Macaca fascicularis: one gene and its partners. The protein of the gene in region 2 purifies or fractionates together with the protein of the main gene of each other region. This does not show direct contact. Links are inferred from orthologs where the notes say so. Each region holds a gene or a part of one and is shown on either strand. Other genes may lie near its edges. The genes, in order: SMAD1, RUNX2, UBTF, SMAD3 and HDAC4.

What was found.
Region 1: the proteins of RUNX2 (region 2) and SMAD1 purify together in Homo sapiens (affinity purification with western blotting; 3 studies listed by BioGRID). This does not show direct contact. The link is inferred for Macaca fascicularis from reciprocal best matches to the Homo sapiens genes RUNX2 and SMAD1.
Region 3: the proteins of RUNX2 (region 2) and UBTF purify together in Homo sapiens (co-immunoprecipitation; 3 studies listed by BioGRID and IntAct, with this or other methods). This does not show direct contact. The link is inferred for Macaca fascicularis from reciprocal best matches to the Homo sapiens genes RUNX2 and UBTF.
Region 4: the proteins of RUNX2 (region 2) and SMAD3 purify together in Homo sapiens (affinity purification with western blotting; 3 studies listed by BioGRID). This does not show direct contact. The link is inferred for Macaca fascicularis from reciprocal best matches to the Homo sapiens genes RUNX2 and SMAD3.
Region 5: the proteins of RUNX2 (region 2) and HDAC4 purify together in Homo sapiens (affinity purification with western blotting; 3 studies listed by BioGRID). This does not show direct contact. The link is inferred for Macaca fascicularis from reciprocal best matches to the Homo sapiens genes RUNX2 and HDAC4.

Annotation. Positions count from the first base shown.
Region 1 is NC_088379.1:150,399,764-150,403,274, reverse strand, and holds part of SMAD1 (mothers against decapentaplegic homolog 1), read right to left. Parts: intron 1,375-3,511; 5' UTR 1,197-1,374; coding exon 797-1,196; intron 1-796. UniProt on the Homo sapiens protein: Transcriptional modulator that plays a role in various cellular processes, including embryonic development, cell differentiation, and tissue homeostasis.
Region 2 is NC_088378.1:126,039,071-126,042,581, reverse strand, and holds part of RUNX2 (runt-related transcription factor 2), read left to right. Parts: intron 1-26; coding exon 27-188; intron 189-1,224; coding exon of another isoform or gene 1,225-1,250; exon of another isoform or gene 1,251-2,765; intron 2,766-3,511. UniProt on the Homo sapiens protein: Transcription factor involved in osteoblastic differentiation and skeletal morphogenesis. Essential for the maturation of osteoblasts and both intramembranous and endochondral ossification.
Region 3 is NC_088390.1:65,276,758-65,280,872, forward strand, and holds the start of UBTF (nucleolar transcription factor 1), read right to left. Parts: upstream 2,805-4,115; 5' UTR 2,378-2,804; intron 2,026-2,377; exon of another isoform or gene 1,911-2,025; intron 1,090-1,910; exon of another isoform or gene 1,032-1,089; intron 667-1,031; exon of another isoform or gene 336-666; intron 273-335; exon of another isoform or gene 132-272; intron 1-131. UniProt on the Homo sapiens protein: Recognizes the ribosomal RNA gene promoter and activates transcription mediated by RNA polymerase I (Pol I) through cooperative interactions with the transcription factor SL1/TIF-IB complex.
Region 4 is NC_088381.1:43,772,313-43,776,374, reverse strand, and holds the start of SMAD3 (mothers against decapentaplegic homolog 3), read right to left. Parts: upstream 2,801-4,062; 5' UTR 2,248-2,800; coding exon 2,042-2,247; intron 1-2,041. UniProt on the Homo sapiens protein: Receptor-regulated SMAD (R-SMAD) that is an intracellular signal transducer and transcriptional modulator activated by TGF-beta (transforming growth factor) and activin type 1 receptor kinases.
Region 5 is NC_088386.1:135,306,143-135,310,364, forward strand, and holds the start of HDAC4 (histone deacetylase 4), read right to left. Parts: upstream 2,805-4,222; 5' UTR 2,762-2,804; exon of another isoform or gene 2,158-2,761; intron 1-2,157. UniProt on the Homo sapiens protein: Responsible for the deacetylation of lysine residues on the N-terminal part of the core histones (H2A, H2B, H3 and H4).

The DNA of each region.
Region 1 (3,511 bases), on a different chromosome or scaffold from region 2:
GTGATTCTAATGTACAGCCTTAGTACCCCAATAACTATTAACAGCCAATCCATTAACGAAATTGGTCCCAATCTGACGATGAGACATGTAAGTGCTTGACTATCTAATCACTTTCCAATGATCCAACTGTCTAGAATGTAGATTCTAACTTGAGGGCAAAACCATACAAATTTTAAAATATATCCTTTACTGTACCTTTCCAAAAGACTATACATGTTAAAAACTAGGTATATTTATAAAGTAATAGTATCAAATAATTCCATAGAAGAACATAATTCTTTCATATTCACCACAGGAAACATGCCACAGCAAAAGTCACAGAGACGATAAAAAGTGCTGTTCTTCAGTTCAAAATGGTTTAAGTCACTGGCAACTATCCTCATGATATACTTCCTTCAAGCATATAGACAGCAATACTGTATTTCTTTCCTAATTTTCTTCCCTTAGAATACAATTCATAGATAATTTTATCTAGAGAAATGCAGAGAACCATATGAGACATAAAAAATAAATTTAGAAAGAAAATTTATTAAAAATTAGAGGTATTAGTACTGCAATGACAATTGTCATAGCCTGCTCCCAAGACATAATGTTAACTAGAGATGATTAAGCTGTTAAAATGTATGAAACACTCAAGGGCCTTCTCTCTTACATACACACAGACACACACATACAGTTTCCCTGAATATTTTTAAATTACAACTAAAAACAAGGACAGGGATTCTTTTGATGTTCTAAACAACACAAATCCAGTACCGGGCACACAAACTGTATCAACATAAAATAACTCACTTACCAGGGCTTTCTACTCGCTTATAGTGGTAGGGATTGATGCAGACCTCCTTCTGCTTGGAACCAAAAGGAAACTCACAGCATTCCAGTGGTTTTAGTTCATGGTGGCTCTGAAGATCGGGCCAGCGCCATACACGGCAGTAAATGACATGAGGCAGTCCCTTCCGGTGGGAGACTTGCAGCCTGCCATCCAAAGAGCGGGGAATGGTGACACAGTTACTTGGTTGCCCTGGGCAGCTCAAAGCCTTCTCCAGTTCCTCCATGGCACCTTTCTTTTTCTTCAGTTTTTTCACCAAAGCATCAACAGCTTTCTCTGCCCATTTTTCTTCTTCATCGCCCTGTTTCCACCCAAGAAGTCTTTTCACAGCTGGACTTGTAAAGGAAAATAAACTTGTCACATTCATAATGACAGCACTAGTTATATAGTCCTTGGATACGGTGAAATAAAGGCGTCTTCAAACGCAAAAGGACAGCAGAAGAGATCTGTTTATTTACAGAGAAGTCTCTTTAATTTCTTAGTTTGAAGTCCAGAAAAGTAGAAATTACCATTCCTAGTGTTTAAGAAAGTAACCCAGTCAGCACCTACAAAAGAAAAAAAAAAAAAGGTTAGAATCATCTCTACCATACAACCAAATTTATTAAGTAATCACCATGTGCTAGGTACTATTTTAAATGCTTTTATGTAACACGGTATGCTGTGCACCGAACTGTGACCCCTTAAATTCATATGCGGAAGCCCTAACTCTCAGTATGACTATATTTAGAGATGGAGCCTCTAAGAAAGTAATTAAAGTTAAATAAGGTCATCAGGGTGGGGCCCTAATCTGATAGGATTGGTGGTCTTAAGATTGCTATCTCCCTCCTCCAGCCTCTATGCCCACACACTGAGGGCACTGCAAGAAGGCAATCATCTGCAAGCCAGGAAGAGAGCCCTCACAAGAGCCTGGATTGTCCAGAACCTTGATCTTGGACTTTCCAGACTCCAGAATGAAGATAAAATCTATTTCTGTTATTTAAGCCACCCAGTCTATGATATTTTATTATGGCAACCAAAGCAGACTGATACATAGCATTTAATGCTTTTCACAATCCTTTGAGCTAGGTAATACAGTTGCTGCCACTTTTCAGATGAGTAAACTGAGAAGCAGTTTAAAAAGTAAGCCACTGCTAACAAAAGCTCTGGGATAAAAGCAACAAAGTTAAAAAGTCCAAGTTCTCCAAAGACATTGTAATATTTTAGATTTAGATTCACTTATAACCTCTAAAAATATATTTCAAAACACCTCAATCAACAAAAACTGAAAGCAACAGGGAGTAAAAAAAAAAAAATTAGTCTAGTATCTCTGTTTTTTGGTTTGTTCTACAAATATTTCTTATGCTAAAAGAAAATTCCTATTATATAAATGTAGTAATATTTTAGGGTATTTCTTCAGTGAACAAACCTGTGTCTATGGGTTACAGCGCAAATAGGACAGGAAATACATCTCCTGCTTTAAAAATTTTGCTATTTATTGACATAAAAGGAATAAAGCACATGGACACATACTGTACCAAATTCTTCAGCCAAGTTGCTTCATTTAAACTTTCTATTTACCCTTCAGCACATGAAAACATAAAATGTGAAAAAGGTTAAGGAGGCTAACTTTGTACAAACCCTGGCTAAACTGGAGTAGCACATATCAGACCAACCTCCTTCCAAACAAACAAGCCAGAAAACAAACAAAAGCCCAGCTTTTTAAAGGCATCAAAGAGGAACCAAGGCACGCAGGACTTGAGGGGGCCAAGATCCTGGAGAGAGGGGAAATGCAATGAAGTGAGCTGAATATTTGTCACCACTCTTCCTTTCCAGGGATTTGCCAATAGTTATGCTATGAGTAGCAAAAGGTCTAGGAGCCAAGCAGAAAGAGGTAACTAAGAGGCTTACAAACTAAGCAGAGCTTCTAGTAGCCTCATAGTGCTGAAGAACCCCAAAATAACAACACAACAACAAATGGAGTTGAGGGCCTGCTGAGGAGAAACCCTGGTAAATAGTCTAGGCTTTCAATGGAGTCTCCTGGAGGAATATGCCCCAGTCTAAGGGCAAAAATGAAATGGAGCAGTCTTTACAACCAACCTAGAGTCATCTTAATCCTAGCCTTGGTCTAGGTGATGTGTACTGCTCTCTAACAGCTTGCCAGAAGAAAAACAATTTCGCTATAGAGGAAGACATCAACCTTAGTCACTACAATTTTAAATTCACAGTGTATGGCAATGAACCAAAAGTTATCAAGCATACCAAAAACAGGACCAAATGACCAAAACAAAACAGAATAGAAACAGACCTAAGGGGTGACCCAGGTAATGGAGTTACCAGAAACAGACTTTAAAGTATTAATGATTACTACTTTGTATGTCAAGGAAAGAGAAGACAAGGTTGAAGATTTTAACAGAGAACTAGAATCCATAAAGAAGAATGAAATAAAAATTCTAGAACTGAAAAATATAGTAACTAATGAGACTTTAAATAGGATGAACTTAACAACAGGCTAGATACAGTAGAATAAAAGATTAGTGAGCAGGAAGATTGGTAAAAAATGCTCATACTAATGCAAAGAGAGGGAAAAAAATGAAAAATAAAGAACTGAGGAGACATAATGGATCTAGTGAAAGGTCTAGCACCACGTAAGTAGAGTCTTAAAGGAAAAGAAGAAAGACTGTAACAGAGCAATATTTTTAGATA
Region 2 (3,511 bases):
AAGATTTTTCTTCTTCTTTTTCCCAGACCCCAGGCAGGCACAGTCTTCCCCGCCGTGGTCCTATGACCAGTCTTACCCCTCCTACCTGAGCCAGATGACGTCCCCGTCCATCCACTCTACCACCCCGCTGTCTTCCACACGGGGCACTGGGCTTCCTGCCATCACCGATGTGCCTAGGCGCATTTCAGGTAAAGACCGCGCTTTAACTAAAAATCCATCCCCGCATAGGGGTCGGGGGGAGTGGGATGGGCTGAACCTGTGTCATCCATGCTCACAGTGACTCTCTATTAGAGACATGTGGGCAAGGGAATGACAACTGGCAAATTAAATCTTCTGAATTATGGGGTTATCAAACACTCGAACATTTTAAGTCAAGAGACCAAAAATCTGCCAGAGATGGCATACTTTTAAGATGGTATTTAATGCCGCCCAGTTAGTGTCCTGCTGAATTGTATCCCATTTGGTGGGCACTGTCTCATAACTAGGGCCTTTTCCTGAGGGTCTTATGCCAGGCCTTCCTCTGCTTGTGTTCCTTTCTTTTCCTAACATCTGCCTATAAACCAGATTGATGGCACAGCCCTCCATTCCTAAAGGCTTGTAAGTCCCAGGAGTCCAAGCTAGTCAGTTCCAAGAGAGAGCACCTGCAAACTTAGGATCTTTGTCAGAAACTAGTCATTTGAAGTGCCGTGAGGCCTGGAAGAGTCTTAAAAGGCAATGCGTGGCCTCTGAGTGGCTAACTCAAGAAGGACGCAGCCTTTCTGTGAAGCATCATGCGTGCTGCTGTCACTTGCAGCCCGGCAGCCCAGTGCTCACAATTGTTCCAAAGGCACTACAGAAATGTGTGGCCCATGGGGGAGTGTGTGTGACAAATGACCTGGCTGCCCCTCTATCCTGGAGAATTCATCACAGAGAGCCAGAAAGTGTTCACGAAGACTCCCAACTGACAAGTAGAGAAAAGTTAAAGGCCCTTAGCTGACTGTATGAGTCCCGTGAATAAGAAAAGAAACCTCTTGGTCCACCCTGACATATGAGCTGCAAACATTGTCCCCACTCAATGACGTACATCCACAGAGAGGCACACACCCCATTGGATCCCACGTTTGCCAGATACTCTTCTCAGCGTTCGGGCCCCTGCACCTGTTTGACTCCTGGCCAGGTTAATGCCTTTCTTTCTTTCTCTTTGTGTTTCTGTCTGTTTCTCTCCCTCTCTCATTTTCTGCAAAGCTCGAAGCCGTTACTCACTCCGCTGAGTTGCATCACTGACAAGCTGAAGCTCCACCAGCAGGCTTGCGGGTTTTGATTAGTTCAGACTCCTTTATTTCTTTCAACTTGGGAGGAGGGAAGGCTTTGTTTCTCAAGCAAATAGCAGGAAAGGGCTCTCTGGTCCTAGTGCCTCACATTTTCTGCAGCAGATGGACTCCCATGGGGGTGAGTAGGGAAAGAAGAGGGGTGGAGGGAGAACTGCAAGGTGTTTTGGGAAACCATGTTACCACTTTTCATTGTGACTGCTGTTATCATTTTTACGAATCACACAGTATGTATTGGGTAATTGTATAGAGTGTAGAATTTTAGTTATCATTTCCCTTGCCTGGAATCACCGTCGCCTTTAGGCAAACATTAATTAAAGATAACGGGAAAGGATGAGTAAGGCACAGTGGGGATAACGAAGGCTGATGCGAGATTAAAGGCACAGTGTTGATGGTGTTAAGTTAGTTCTGGTTATTCCTTCTACATTTCATACTGAGAGTCTGTTTTGTTTTACATAGGGCCAAAAGGACACTTTGACAGAATAGACTTATGCAAACTTGCTTCTGTTTGGGGTCTCCTGGGGCTTCCATCTGCCCAACCCACCGTGGCTGAAGCAGATTTTGCTATTTTTTTCTCTAGCAGTACCTAGAGGGAAAAAACCTCAGGGAGTAGTGTTAGCATTAGAGACACTTACCTACAGCAGTTTCCTACTGAGGTATATTCCTGTGAGTTCATCAGGAAAGCCATTGAAAATGACATCGGAAAAATGCTGCATAAACGAGTAGTCATCATTGTTTATCATGTACATGTGTAATGGAAAACAGCCAGATTATTTCAAGTTACTTTACTGAGGGTTACTTCAAACATTTCCACAAAACAGTAGCTTTCCCATTTCACAGAGAAGGAGGCAGGAGCAGAAACTGGTTAATTTTCCAGCCATATATCTATCTTAGGCCAAAGGTAGGAGTGAGCCTCTGGTTTAAACTGGTTTATACTGAGTTTAGTCCAGTTTTTTCCTCCAACCCTTAACATTTCTGGAGTTGTTACTGGTAAAGTAACATGGTGCCAGGGTGGGAGGTTCTGTATAAACAGTAAAGAGAACAGAAAATCCTTCTTGTCAGCATGTAGGTAGGGAAACAGGAAGAAACAACTAGATGTGGACTGTCAGGGAGCTGGAGGAGCACTGACTTACCTGACCTTGCCCTGGGCTGCGGGACTGTGCCTGCACAACCAAGCACTGCCTGGCGGACTCAGGGACCATGTCATTGGAGTGTGCACCATTTCTAATTCCCTGGGAACTAGTCCTGGGCGCCTTCTTGGGGAAGCCTGTCTCATAGGGTCCCAGGTACCAACTTAGACAATGTATAGCTTATGATTCCTCTCAACATCTAAAGCCAGTGTCTAAGTCCATGACCTAGAGGCTCCTACATGTGAGACTTAAGCATGAGGGCTTTTTAAATTTGGAGTTTTTTTTTGTATGTGTGTGCTTTAGTAAATAAAGCCCTTTGGATTGAGTCCATTCTTGTGCCTTTAGTCTTCATAATGCTCTGTGCCAAATAATGCTGTTTCCACGTAACACGGACAGCTAAAAATATTAACCTCTATCCCTGTCTGCAGGCAGTCCCGTGGTCTCTTTTTGAGACGCTTTGCAGAACAGTTTATGTTTTTGTGTGCATTGATCAATTTTCATCTCCATATCTAAAGGGATACACAAAATATTCTCATATGATTTTGGATGAGAAAGAATAAAATTCTTCACTTCACAGTAGGATTGGATGTTCGGACCCAGGTTTGAATCCCAGCTCATACATATATCAGGCAACTTCTTACTTTTCTGAAACTTAGTTTTATTTTTTGTAAAATAGGCATACAATACTCATCTTCAGGGTCGGTGTGAAGATGAAGTGAGATACTTTATATAAAGTGTTTAGAACTGGCCTGGCACATGATATGTGCCAAATAGATTGTAGCTGATATTATGAAGCTAAAATTGTTTTGTAAAAATTGTATATCCATATGTAATTTGCAGGCAAGTCTTGTTAAGTGAGTCAAATTAGATTAGATAAAAATCTAAACTTTTAAAGGGAACTTTTCCTTCACAAAATGGATCACCACAGAACGTATTTAAAACAAAGCCCTTAGATTATCTAAACATTTAAATAAGTTAATACTCACATGGCATTCACAAAGCACTTAATGCAGTACCTAGCACATAGAACTACTCAGATGTTTCCCATTATTATTATTATTCTGTAGATTTAAA
Region 3 (4,115 bases), on a different chromosome or scaffold from region 2:
GCCCCCGGGGACCGGATCCGGATTCCCGCCGCTCCCCCCTCCCGGGCTCCCTTCGCCGTCCCCGCCCGCACAGGCGGGCGAGCAGCCGGAGAGAAGCGGCCTAGCCTGCCCCCCGCCCCCGAGCCACCCACCCCGGCCAGAGGCGCCGCCACCACCCAGCCACCCCGACGCGCACGGAGGAGCCCGGCACAGAGGCGCGACCGCGGCGGGAACCGCCGCCTCCTCCCCCGAGCCTGCGGCCCAGCCCCGCCGGCGCCCCCGCCCCGGCCTCCGGGGAGCCGAGCCAAGGAGAGGGCGGGAGGACGGCGGCCGGGAGGCGGGGGCGCAGCGCTCACCGGCCCCGCCGCCCCCTCCGGCGGCCGGGGAGAACTGCGCCTGCCGGATCCGAGAAGCGCGGGCTCCTCCGCCAGCGGCCGTGGCTCGGCTCAGGCCTCGCTTCCTGCCTTCCCCTCCCCCGGCTCTCGGCGTCCTCCCAAGTGCCCTGGTCTGCTCGCGCCCGGTCCCCTGCTCGGTGGTCGCTCCGGGTCCCTGCTGGGCGCCCACCGCAACCCGCGGTTCGCTCCCTGCTGTCCGGCCCCGAACCCAGCGCGCGTCCTCAGCCGCCTCGGTTACCCGGCGCAGCGCGGCCTCCGGGCTTCCCGCTCCGGCGGCTCCCTCCCCGGCTCTGAGTGGCGGCGCCCTCCCCCGCTCGGCCGGGCACAGCCGCAGCTCCCTCCCGCGGCGGCAGCGGCTCCTCCTCCGGGCGAGGCGGCGGCGCTGGGGCGGCGGCTGCTGCTGCTGTGGCGGCGGCGGCGGCGGCTGTGGCTGCTGCCTGCTGCTCCTCGCGGCGAAAAGCACAAAGCACAGCGCCCTCCGCCTGCAGGCAGCCCGCCCGCCGCCGGCCCCGGCCTCAGCTCGCACACCCCCCGCCGCCGCCGCAGCCTCAGCCGCCGGAGCGGGGAGGAGGAGGGAGAAGGGAGGAGGAGGAGCGGGAGGGGGGGCGGGAGAAGCGGGGCAGCGAGCGCGTCCTTCCCCGTAGAGCGCACACCGACCCCCGGGGAGCGAGCGCCAGCCCGCCCGCCTCGCCGGCTCCGCTCCCTCCCACAGCCTGCCCGGGCGGGCTCCGCGGGGGGCAGCTGGGAGGAGGGGCGGGAGCTGGGGGGACCCGGGCGGCCGAGGCGGAGGGAAGGAAGGAGGGGAGGGGGGTGGTGGTGGTGCTGGTGGCGGCGGCGGCTGCTGCTGCTGCTGCTGCCGCCGCCGCCGCCGCCGCCGGGGAAGGGGGGGGCCGGGGCAGGGAGACACGCAGCCGCCCGGATGGCGGCGGGGCTCGGAGCCGGGGCGGGCGGGCGGGCGGGCGCCGAGAGCGACCTCGCCAGACCCGCGGGGGAACTAGCAGGCTTTGCCGGCGCGGGAGGGAGGGCCGAGGCGCGGCCGCGGAGAGGGTGCCCGGAGGGGCCCCCGGCGGCCAGGAAGGCTTGGGGGGCGCCCACAGCCCTGCTCCGGAGCTCTCCCCCAAGTCCTCCCAGCTCAGACTGGGGCTTCCAGGCCAGCTCTCTCCCGCCTCCCGGAGCGAGCGGTCCGCGCCCACCCTCATCCCCCGGAGCGTGGCCACTGGTTTGGGGCGCACGCACGCCGATCGCGGCGTCCAGCTTCGGCGCCTACCTCGCGATCCTCTCATTGCCGAACGGTACATAGGAAACTTTAAAAAAACCCAAAACCGAAAATCTCTGCATTAAAAAAAAATCCCCGTTGCTCTTTACACCCCGGAAACGGCGAGGGAACGACGGGCTCCGGCGGAGGGGCCGCTGTGGGAGCCGGTTCAATCCAGCCCGGCATGGCTCCCAGGCCTGCCCGGGCGCATGGAGATCGGTGCCGCCGCCACTCGTAGCAACCCCTCTCCCCCGAAATCCGCGGCGCCCGGGCTCACTTACCGAGCGTGTGGATGGGAGCGCAGGCCGGGGGCACCTGGGAGCACGGCGGGCGGAACAGCCGAGCCGCAGCTCCGCTGCAGCCGACGCCGGGGCAGCGAGTCGCCAGACAAAGCCCGAGATGGCGAAGCGGAGCGACGGCTAATGGCGAGCCCCACGCGCCGCGCTCCGCCCGCCCCGCTCCGCCCGCCCGCCCGCCCGCCTCGGCGCAGCGCAGCGCCGCTCCGAGCGCTTGCCCGTCAGAGCCGCCTCGGCGCCGCCGCCTCCCGGGCCACCCCGGCCTCGCCTGGCCCCTCCGCCTCCTCCGGGCGGCTCAGCCTCACCCCTTCCCTCCCACTGCTTTAGGGGTTGCACAAAAAAAAAATTTTTTTTTAAGTAAAATGGTTTTCTTCCTTTTTTTTCTTTTTTCCTTTTTTGCAGGGCGGGCGTGTTGAGACTTTTGGATCTTTCTGCCCGCAGCTCGCACTCACCTGCGGAGCCGCCGGGAGGGCTAGGGGTGGGGGCGCGCGGGGCTGGAGCCGGCGAGCGCGGGTTGAAAGCCAGCCAAGCTCTGCAGCGCCCGACCCGGGCGTGTACGCCGCCGCCAGTCCCCGCAGAGAAATCGTCCTCCTACCCCCGCCTCCATCGCTCTGCGTTTCTCTTCCAATCAGCCGGTCGCTTGGTGGCTCCTCCATTCTCCGGCCAAGCCCAGCTGCCTAGAGCGAGCTCCACTCCTCCATCTGTTCGCCGGGGTCCTCGCTCCCCTGCCGGGGCTGGCGAGGCGGCGTGAGGCCGGAGGGGGATTTGCAAGGAAACCTGCCTGCTTCCCGCTCCCATTGCTCCATCCCCGCTGCCTCCTGCCTCCTGCTTCTCTCCTGCGTCTTTCCAACTCTCCCCTGTCGCCACTGGTGTGTGTCTGAGTGTGTGCGCGGTTTTTTTTTTTTTTATTGCTCTTTGCTTTTGCAACCCTGAAGCAAAAGGGAGGGGGGGTAGTTACAGGGGAAAAAAAAAAAAAGCGAGAAAGAAGCTCTTAGATTTGCAACACATCGGAAAACCGAGGGAGCACCCCGCCTTATCCGATCTCCATGCTCCGCGAGGGCCTTCCGGGTTTTAAAAGGACGAGCTTATCAATGTCCCCCTCTTCGCTGGGTTTAGGATCCGAGGAGTCCGAGCAAAAAGTTCTCCCCCTGGGTCGTAGTGAGGGGTGTCAGGGTGGGAGTTGCGGGGATTTTTCAAGAAGAAGCGGCTATCCTTCCTACCCCGGCGTCGGTCACTGGGCGGGGGTAGGGGAAAGAGCAAAATCCCAGTGGGTTTGCGCGAGGGATCTTCTGGGGTCGAGGCGGCGGGGGGAGTCGGAACCGGGAGACACCACTTGGCGCATCTCCCCCTCGGTCTATACCTCCTGTCTTTTGCCAGCTCCCCCTTTAATTTTTTTTCTCTCCTTTAATCTAATTTCTTCCAACTCCACCTTTGTTGTTACCGGCGTCACGCCCGGACCAGCCAATCCCCGCCACGCAATCAGCTTGTCAAAAAGCCTCGGCCGGCCCTGGGAAAGCAGGCCGCAGGCGCTGCCCCCCGGCGGCGGCGGGCAGCCGCGAGGGGAGCCCAGCACCCGGTTCTCGCTGCTCCGGGCGGCAGCGGAGCAGCCTCCGACGAGACGTCTCCCGGTTCACTAAACTGCAGGCCGGGGATGAAAGGCCTGGACGGGGTCCACCACCCACCCTCCCACTACCATGGCTGTGGTTGTCTGTCTTTGCCTCCCCTTTTCAGAGGAAAGGTTATCAGGACAGGACGCAGGGAGCCAGAAGACCATCTGAAGGAAGCCTGCTTCCAGCAGGCCCAGCCTCCAGCCACCGCTTCTGGGGCAGCGCCATTGCTCCTGGCTCTCAGGCTGCCAGTCTCCCACACCGAGGCTCTACTTCCCGCATCTCGGCCAGCTGGATCACCCAGCCCCTTTCGACTCTCCCCTGGCATGCAGCCTTCTCCTCCACTCGGCCTGCCTCTTTGCTGCTGTAATTCCTCTTGTCTCCTGGGAGAAATGAGATTGTTTTCCCAGGACTTCCAGATCCCACTTCTGTCACGTTTCACAAACAGGGAGGAAGCCCTGTCAAGATCTGGTGTGTCCTGTTTTTGTTTGTTTGTTTGTTTGTTTTTGGGGGCACTGGCATATAGGAGAGGCGGATTTACCACTCGTAGATTAATTTCAGCTTCTAGGCCCCTAACTTTGAG
Region 4 (4,062 bases), on a different chromosome or scaffold from region 2:
ATTAAAGAAGCAACCGCACATACAAACATCCACAGGGCCCTCCCCAAGCTAACACAGTTTTAGCATTCAGCAAAGAATGTATTCAGGATCTTCAAAGTATAAAGCAGCATGGGTCAGCAGAAAGAGCACATTCTGTCAGAATCCCACGTCTACAACTCAAGCCTTTTCACCTCTCTCTTTTAAAGTTTCCTCTGCTTTAAAAACGTGATAATGTTAAGCCTAACAACCTTATCTACTTTCCAGGGCTGGTTGCTTGCTTGCTTGCTTTCTATCTTGTTTTGAGGACCTCAGAAAACCATGTGAAAGTGCTTTGTAAACCGTGAAACACTTTTCACAGCTGCCTGTTTTATAATTGATACCATTTTTTTTCCTGTTTCAATGCATAAAGCACTTGTCTTCAATGCACCCAGGCAGATAAGAGGAAGGTAGGTTTGACAGACCCCTCCCCAGACAGAGAAGTAGCATATTCACCCACTCTACCCTCTCCACCCCCACCGAAGGAATACAGAAGAATTAAGAACCAGAGCTGGAACCAAATCCCAGGTCTCTCTGACCATCACATCACACCACCTCCTCTGAAGTCAATTCTGGCTCCCGATCACACGGCCAGGGACTTCCCCAGACAGCACACCGCCTTCCCTCCCCCTTTATTGACTGGATCCACCCAGTCAAAAAAAAAAAAAAAATTTAAGTCTGCACTCCCACCATATGTGGCATTTATTTCCAGGGGAGGCCTGCCCTGGGTTCCCGTGGACAGATGTTGCTTTGTGCCTGCCTGACTCGCCTGGCAGCCCTTGTACAACTGCCCCAAGCAGGTGGCCAAGGATGGAGTCCACCCTGGCCCAGGGGCAGGGATGACAATCCCTTTTTTGGCTTACAGTCCCTGGTGCTTTCTACTCATTCCTCTGCAGCCTGGGACCCCCAAAACAGCCAGCCCCCAACACACACACTCTCTCCCTCGGTTCAGAATCAAAGGAGGCTGAGAGGTAGAGACAGGAAGTCAAGGTATCCCCACCCCCAATTCCCAGCCAGGCACAGCTAAGCTAAGGAAGGCCCTGGGGGAGTGGAGAGAAGTCACTGACCCTTTCTATCAGCCATCTGTGGGCTCCCGCCCGACCTAGCTAGCGCGCAACAGGAAGGATAAAGGAGATGCAGACAGATGGCAGCGCGCTTTGGGAAGGAGGGCTCTACAGGAATGCGAGGGCCGATGCGAGGCCCACTTTGGGGTGTGTTTTGTTATCTGCCCGGTTCCAGCCCGCCCCTCTCCCTCATTCTGCACGGACTCAAAATCTCTTGGACCAAAAGGAGGGCAAAAGAGTCGGGATGGGGAGTGGGAGGTGGGGGAGAAGACCCTATTTTCTGCCACTTGTCTCTCCCATTTGGAAGTCAGAGCATTGCACTGCAACCAAAGTGCGTGCGTGCTCAGGGGGCGGGAGACTGGCACAACCGAGTCTAAAAATACTCGATAAAAATGCTAATCCCGAAGGCAAAGAAAGAACGAAGAAGGAATCTGTCAATCACGAGGCTCCCGCTCCTCACCCACAGCCCCAGCTGTACGGACCGCATTCCTGTAGAGGAAAGTGGGGAGACCGGACTGAAGAAAAGAAACGCAAAGACACCACCACCTCCACCAGCGCGGGCCGCGGGGGCGGGAGGCGGCGGCGGCGGAGGAGGGGCTCCGGCCCGCGGAGCCGAACAAAGCGGGCCTCAACTTCCAGCCCCAGCTCCCCAGGGTGGGGGCGGCCGAGTCCCGCAACAACCCGCTCTCCCCTCCCGGAGGTGGAAAGGGAATGTGAGGTCTGGAAGCCAGAGTGCCGTGTGGAAGCCTCGGGCTCTGATCTTTGCAAATGCAGAGATGGTTTTGTTTGGGGTCCCCCCACCCCCTTCCTGCCCGCGCTCTAGCTCCCACTCTCACACACACGCACCCACACAGTCTCACTCCCTCTCTCTCCCTCTTCCCATCTTCAACCCCAATGGGTCGGCCCCGCAGTGCCAGGGGGCCGGGTCGGCGTGTCCCCGGGTCCCCCGGGCGGGCCCCCACCTGGGGATGGTGATGCACTTGGTGTTGGCGTTCTGCGTGGTGATGGCCTTCTCCAGCTCGTCCAGCTGCCCCGTCTTCTTGAGTTTCTTGACCAGGCTCTTGACCGCCTTCTCGCACCATTTCTCCTCCTGCCCGTTCTGCTCACCCTTCTTCCAGCCCAGCAGGCGCTTCACGATCGGGGGAGTGAAAGGCAGGATGGACGACATGGCTGGGGAGGGCGCGCGGGCGGCGAGGAGCGCCCCCGGCGGGGCTGGGCTCGACGGAACGCCGGGGGCGCAGAGGGGAGCTCGGCCGGGGCCTGCCGCGGTCGCCCAAACTTCGCCTCAACTCTCGGCGAAGTTGCTGGGGCGCCGGGCCGGGCCGCGGCGCTGCAGCCTGCGGGGCTCGGCGCGCGGCCCTGCGCCCGGAGCGGCTCCCACGGCGAAGAGAAGGGCGGCCGGGCGGGCGGACGGCAGCGGTGCCGGGTTGGGAAGGCCCCGAACGCGGGGCGGAGGCGGCGGCCGCGAGACTCCAAGTGGCAGCAGAAGTTTGGGTTTCCGCACGGGGTAGCTGTTTGGGTGCCGCCTCCGGGAAGGAAAGTCCAACCCCCGGCCAAACTTCGCTCGCCTTGCTAGCTTTGATGCGCAGATCCCTCCGCCTCTGCTGCCTCGCCGCCTCGCCACCCTCCTCCTCCCGGCTCGCCGCTAGCTCGCTCGCTGGCTGGGCCGGCCCGGGGCGTGCGCCGCGCTCCCGCTCCCGCCCGCTCCCAGTCTGTGTTTCATGCAAATCCGCGTGCAGCCTCCTTTCCAAGCGCTGTCACCGCCCCCTCGCCGCCGGGGCTCTCCGCCTCCTCCCCTGCGCCCCGCCACCTCCTCCCGCGGGCGCCCTGCCCGCCCCCTGCTCCGGGGAGGGCGGCCGGCCGGCTGGCCGGCCGGCCACCACCCCGTGCCCAGCACGCCCACGTGGGCAACGCGGGCGGCGGCAGTCCTGGCTGGAGCGCGCGGGACCCCGCGCGGCCCCGACCTGAAGTCGGGCGGGCGCGGGGAGGAAGTCCTGGGAAACGCGCGGCGAGAGGGGCCTCGGGCGGGAGGGCTGAGCGCGGCCCGAGGCGTCCGCTCTCGGAGTCCACACTTGTGCGGCTCGGTTGGAGTTGCGGGCCGGAGAGGGTTGGACTCGCAGCAAGTAAGCGCCGTCCGGACGGGAGTGAACCCTGGAGAGGACCCGAGCCCGAGAGGGGGCGCGCGGAAGGCCCGGGCCCAGGAAGTTGGGGCCCGCACTTGGCCTCGCGCTGGCTGATCCCCGTCAAGGCTCTTGGCCGGCGCCCGCGCCCGCGCCCGCGCCCCTGGGCTGTTTTTATTCTCTCGTTGGTGAGATCACACCGGCCGAGAGCCTTGGGAAAGTGTGCGGAGGAGGGTGTGGGGGGGGGAGAAGTGGGTCCTCAGAAATGGAGAGCTGGGGACACCAGTGACAACCTGGACAATGGCTGGAGCCAGGGATCCTTTGAGCCTTCTGAACTGAGTGCCCGGCAGAAAATGAGCCTCAAGGACATCTGTTGAGTTCTTGAAGGAATGAATGGAGGTGCTTTCGAATTTATCTTTGGAAGAAATTTACATAACACGGTGTTGCTGGATCTCCTGATAGAGAAAGATCGGAAATTTGATAATTCCCAGTAAATGGAAGAGTTTTGTTTCCAGAGCAATGAACTCACAAAAAAGTGGGGCAAGACGAGTATTCGGAGAGTTTGTGTATTCAAAAAAAGCAAAACAACAACAAACCAACTGGCACATTGGGGAGCTCCGGGGCTTTTCACCCCACCAAAAGAATTCAGGGGCGTCTGGCCGCAGGGCCCTCGGCGGCTTTAAGGAGCTACTCCAGGCCCCTTGGCCTTTCTCTTGCTGCTGCCTCCCGCAGTTGACTAGCCGGTGTCTAAGCCCTTTGTTTGTTTTTAACAGCAGGAATCCCCCACCCCCCACCCCCGCTTTGTTTAAAAAAAAAAAAAAAAAGTTATCTGCAAACCCTCAAGTGGGTGGGGAGTTACAAAG
Region 5 (4,222 bases), on a different chromosome or scaffold from region 2:
CTTCTGAGCTATGAAAGCCCAGCCGTTTTCAATAGAGAACGGTATGGACGAATTCTACAGGAGTGATGAAATGCTTCTTCTGCTCCGGCAATTAAGACAGCATAAAGTCGCCTTTCCTTTGGTGCCACCCCCAACATCAAAGGATTGGAATTCAAAGCCATTCATGCTGCATTGAAACCTCACAATGAAGCTGGAGAATGGAAGTCGATTACTGGGCATAAATATGCAGTAGTTAAAAGGAAAGAGTTATAACGAAATTAAATGCAGCAACCCCACAATGTGTGGAAACTTCCAGCACTAGAGCCCTCCTGGTAAACATCCATAGAGCATCCTTCCCAACCAGGTCTCTGGCCACAGAGAGTCCAGATGGGCTGCCTGAGCCGCACGTGGCCAGTGTGCCAGGTTGTTCTGCCCATCTTGCTACAGCAACAGCCCCCAAGGCCTCCGAGAACATGGCATTTGCGGATTTTTATTTTGCATGGCTAGGAAGCTGCTGAACACAGAACATTGTCCCTGGTTCAGGACTCCGAGGCCACATCTGCCCTTCGTCCCCAGGCCTTCCAGGCCTATGTGCAGTCCAGTCATCTTCCCTCTGCCCCGCCCCTTAGCCCAGGGCTCCCCGGGGGGCATGCCTGCTGCCAGCTCCCCTTGCAGAAGAAAGAACCCTAAAGAGGGCAGCGTTGCCTCTGCCTGCTGAGTACAGCCGGCTTCTTTTCTAATTGATTACTGCTCTCTTTAGGATGGGATTTGATCTCTAAAATAAAAGCCCAGAACACAGAAAGCTATAGAAGTCTTACAATGTGTTGGGGTGTGTGTTTTTAAGGCATGAAAATACTTCCCTCCCACACAAATGTGAGTTCTTCTGGGGAAAGATGCCACAGATCCCAGAGAGTAGAATATCTGGGAAGGCTCGATCAGTCTTAAAAATAGGTAATTGAACACAGATTTTAGAATTCACAGGAGCTACCTGAAAAAAAATTAAATTTCACATATTTTTGATATCCAAAACTCCATTCTGATGAAACTTCTAACTGGGTGGCATTCTGCATTTCCAATTATAATAGAGTAATTGTGTTGCCATAGTTACTGCAAAATTCTGCAATAACTTTTGTTGCTTTGTAACTGCTGTAGTGTATATTTGTGTACAAGCAGCTGAGTTTTCTTAATTCGATCTCCCTCCCTTCCACCCTCCCTTTCCCCAGTCACCACCACCACCTTTCCTGGCTGGGTCCTGAAACCACCACACCAGCCTTCTTTGGACAGTCCCGAAAATAATGCACAGAATTATCAGAAGCAATTAAAACTCCAGGCAACCACGATCATATTACAAAAGAAAAAGTGAAACCAGGTCAAGGTGCAAACCTGCCAGTATCCCCCCAGTCCTGCTGGGCTGGCGCTGGGCCAGGGCTGTTTACAGGTTTACTCCCAGGCCTTAACTGCTTCGGTGATTTGTGGGAATAAACAGAAAAGCCTGAATAGAGAAAAACGGGGCGGCAAAGTGACTACACAGGCCCTTTCCTCCCTCACGGAGAGCAAGCAGAACTGCTCTCAGCAAGCAATTAGGTAGGTCTCTACAGTCATGCAATTAGGATTTAGTTAAGAAAGTCATTAGTTTTAAAATAACTTAAGTTTAATTTCTGCAACGCTTTATTTGAAAATTGTGTCACAGCAGGTCAATTTACAACATGCAATAAAGAAAACACTCATATCAGCTGCCTCAAGTTATTACAAATTTTTGATGTGCATTAAATGAGTACACTGGGTTCCACCCCCGGCCTTTCCAACTGATACGCACGGTCTCCTGCTATAACAGTGTCAAATAATTCAACGCTCAATGTAAATACGAGATAATTTGCTTATGATTCCGTGGTGTGTTTTCGCAACGCGGGGAAACGCGGATCCCACCCCCGAGCTGGACCGGGCCCCGTCTCGGCCTGCGGGCGCCCTGCGGGCTGAGCCGAGGGGGTCCCGGGCAGCACCCCCGCCTCCCGCGAACCCCCAGGCGCTCGCAGCGGCGACGACACGCGAGGGGCCGCGGACCCCGGCAGGGACGTTTTTCTGCAAACTCACAGCATTTGACAAAGTTACATAAACGGCGCCCGCCCGGCCCCGGCGCCCGCCCGCCCCCGCCCTCACTCCCGGCGGCCCGGAGCCCACCTGCTCGGGGGGCGCGGGCCCGGCACCGGGCGACGGCGCCGCTGCCTGCCGTGCCCACCCCCGCGCCCCCGCCCCGGCGGGCGAGGCCGCCTCGCGGCGCGGCTGGAAAGGTCCAGAAGGGGCCGGGCGGCCCTGGGGACCGGCGGGTCCCACGGCGCGCGGCCCGCGCTGGCCCCCGCCTCCCACGGCCGCGCGCGGGGCGGGTGTGGACCGGCGGCGTCCACCTGCCGCGGGCTCCGAGGCCTGCAGGCTGCGCGGGGCGCGGGGCGGACGGCGGACAATGGCCCGCGGGCGCCGGGCCGGGGCTGCGCTTACCGCGGCGGGCGGCGGCGGCCGGCTCTAGCCCTGCTCGGGCGCTCCGCGCCGCATCTCCTCAGCCTGCGCCGCCACCCGCCGGCGCGCGGGCTCGGGCTCGGGCGGCGACAGCCGGGACGCGGCCGCGGCGCCGCCGGGGGCCCAGGCTGGGAGGCTGCTCGGGCGGCGGCGGCGGCGGCGGCGCGGGCGGGCGCGCGGGTTCGGGCTCGGGCTCGGGCGGCGGCGGGGACGGTGCTCCGCGGCGGCGGCCCCACAACCTCCCCTCCTCATTCACAAAAAATTGACCCACGTTGAACCATGATGCTTCTCCCCCCTCCAGCGTCGAGCCGGGCGGCGATAGGCCACCCTGCACGCCCGTCAGCCGACCCGGCCCCGCCCCGCCCGCCGGCGGCTCGGCAACCACTGGCTGCGGCAGCCTTGCGTCACCTCCCCATATGGGCCCCGCCCTCCCGCCTGGTTTCTAATGAAGAGCTCGTCAATTACGGCTCGGCCCCGCCTCCCGCCCGCCCGCCCCGGGCGCCTGGCCGGCCTTCCATTGGTCCGTTGAAACCTGCGCACGGCCCGTCTGCTCCCACCCCTCGCCCCGCGGCTGCCCAACCGCGGGGCCGGACGCCCCGTGAGCGGCGGAGAGGCTCCACCCCTGCCCGCCTCCCCGCACGCATCCTGGACCTCATTGGCTGCTGGAGCTGTCAATTCTAGGGGGCGGGGCGTACCAAAAGACGCTCCAGGCGCCAGCCTCTGGGTGCTTCGCGGTTGAGGAGGCGCAGAGACCCGGAGCCAGTAGTGACCGTAAACACGGGCCCCGGCCGTGTCTAGTCCCACTCGGTAGCCCGCATGGCTACCTAGCGGTCAGCACCGCGTGTTTGCGAGCCTAATTCGCGCTTAGAGGGCACACAATGGGGTGCAGGCTGAGGCGGGGAGCTGGCCAGGCCTCGCCGTTGCCTCCATCTTGGGTACTGGCAGTGGGTCACGTGGTGCTGCGTGCGCACCGAGGCGCAGGGCGGCCCGGTCACCGAGTGCGCAGGCGCCGCGGGCCTCGCCCAGCCCCGCGGCGGGAACGCGGCTGTCTGGGTGTGCATGGGGTGCAGGTCTGCCAGGCCTGCAACTGCTGCTGAGGGTCGTGGGATGCGCTCGTCGGGTCCCTGCTCAGGCGGAGGGAGCCCGGCCCGCCGCCAGGGTCTCGAGTCACGGGCCAGGCAGGCGTGGAGGTGGTGGGAACTCCGCACCGGCCGGGCGGGTGTTGTTTTAAGGCCGCAGAGCTTGGGGGGCTTGTGTTGAGTTAAAGGTCGGCCCGTAGATCCCCGCAAGCGCCTTTGGTTGCCAGCTGGTGTGGGCGGGAGTCTTCAGTGGCCACCCTCCTGCTGGTGATGTTTCCATTTCTTTCCAACAAGAGTGTGACAACTTTTAAACTTGGGTGCACACACTGTCCCCGGAATCCCGCGTTCCAGGGAGGAAGCGCCTTTGACAGCGCGCGCCGGTGCGTGGGGCCTGACGGCGTGGGCCCAGGGATGCGGACCTGGCGGGGATGAGCGTTCGCTTCGATTGTGGGCCATTCCTCTTAGATGAGCAAGGATCCGTTTTTACAGCATTCTCGACCTTTGATTCTTGGCGGGGGGGGGAAACTGTAGTTGTGTGGATAAAAATACAGTTAGCAAAATAAAAATGCCAATTTTGCATTTCTTTAAATATCTCAATAACGAATAATTAGAAAACTCTGGTCATTGTGAGAAGTGCTTACTCTGATATGGCT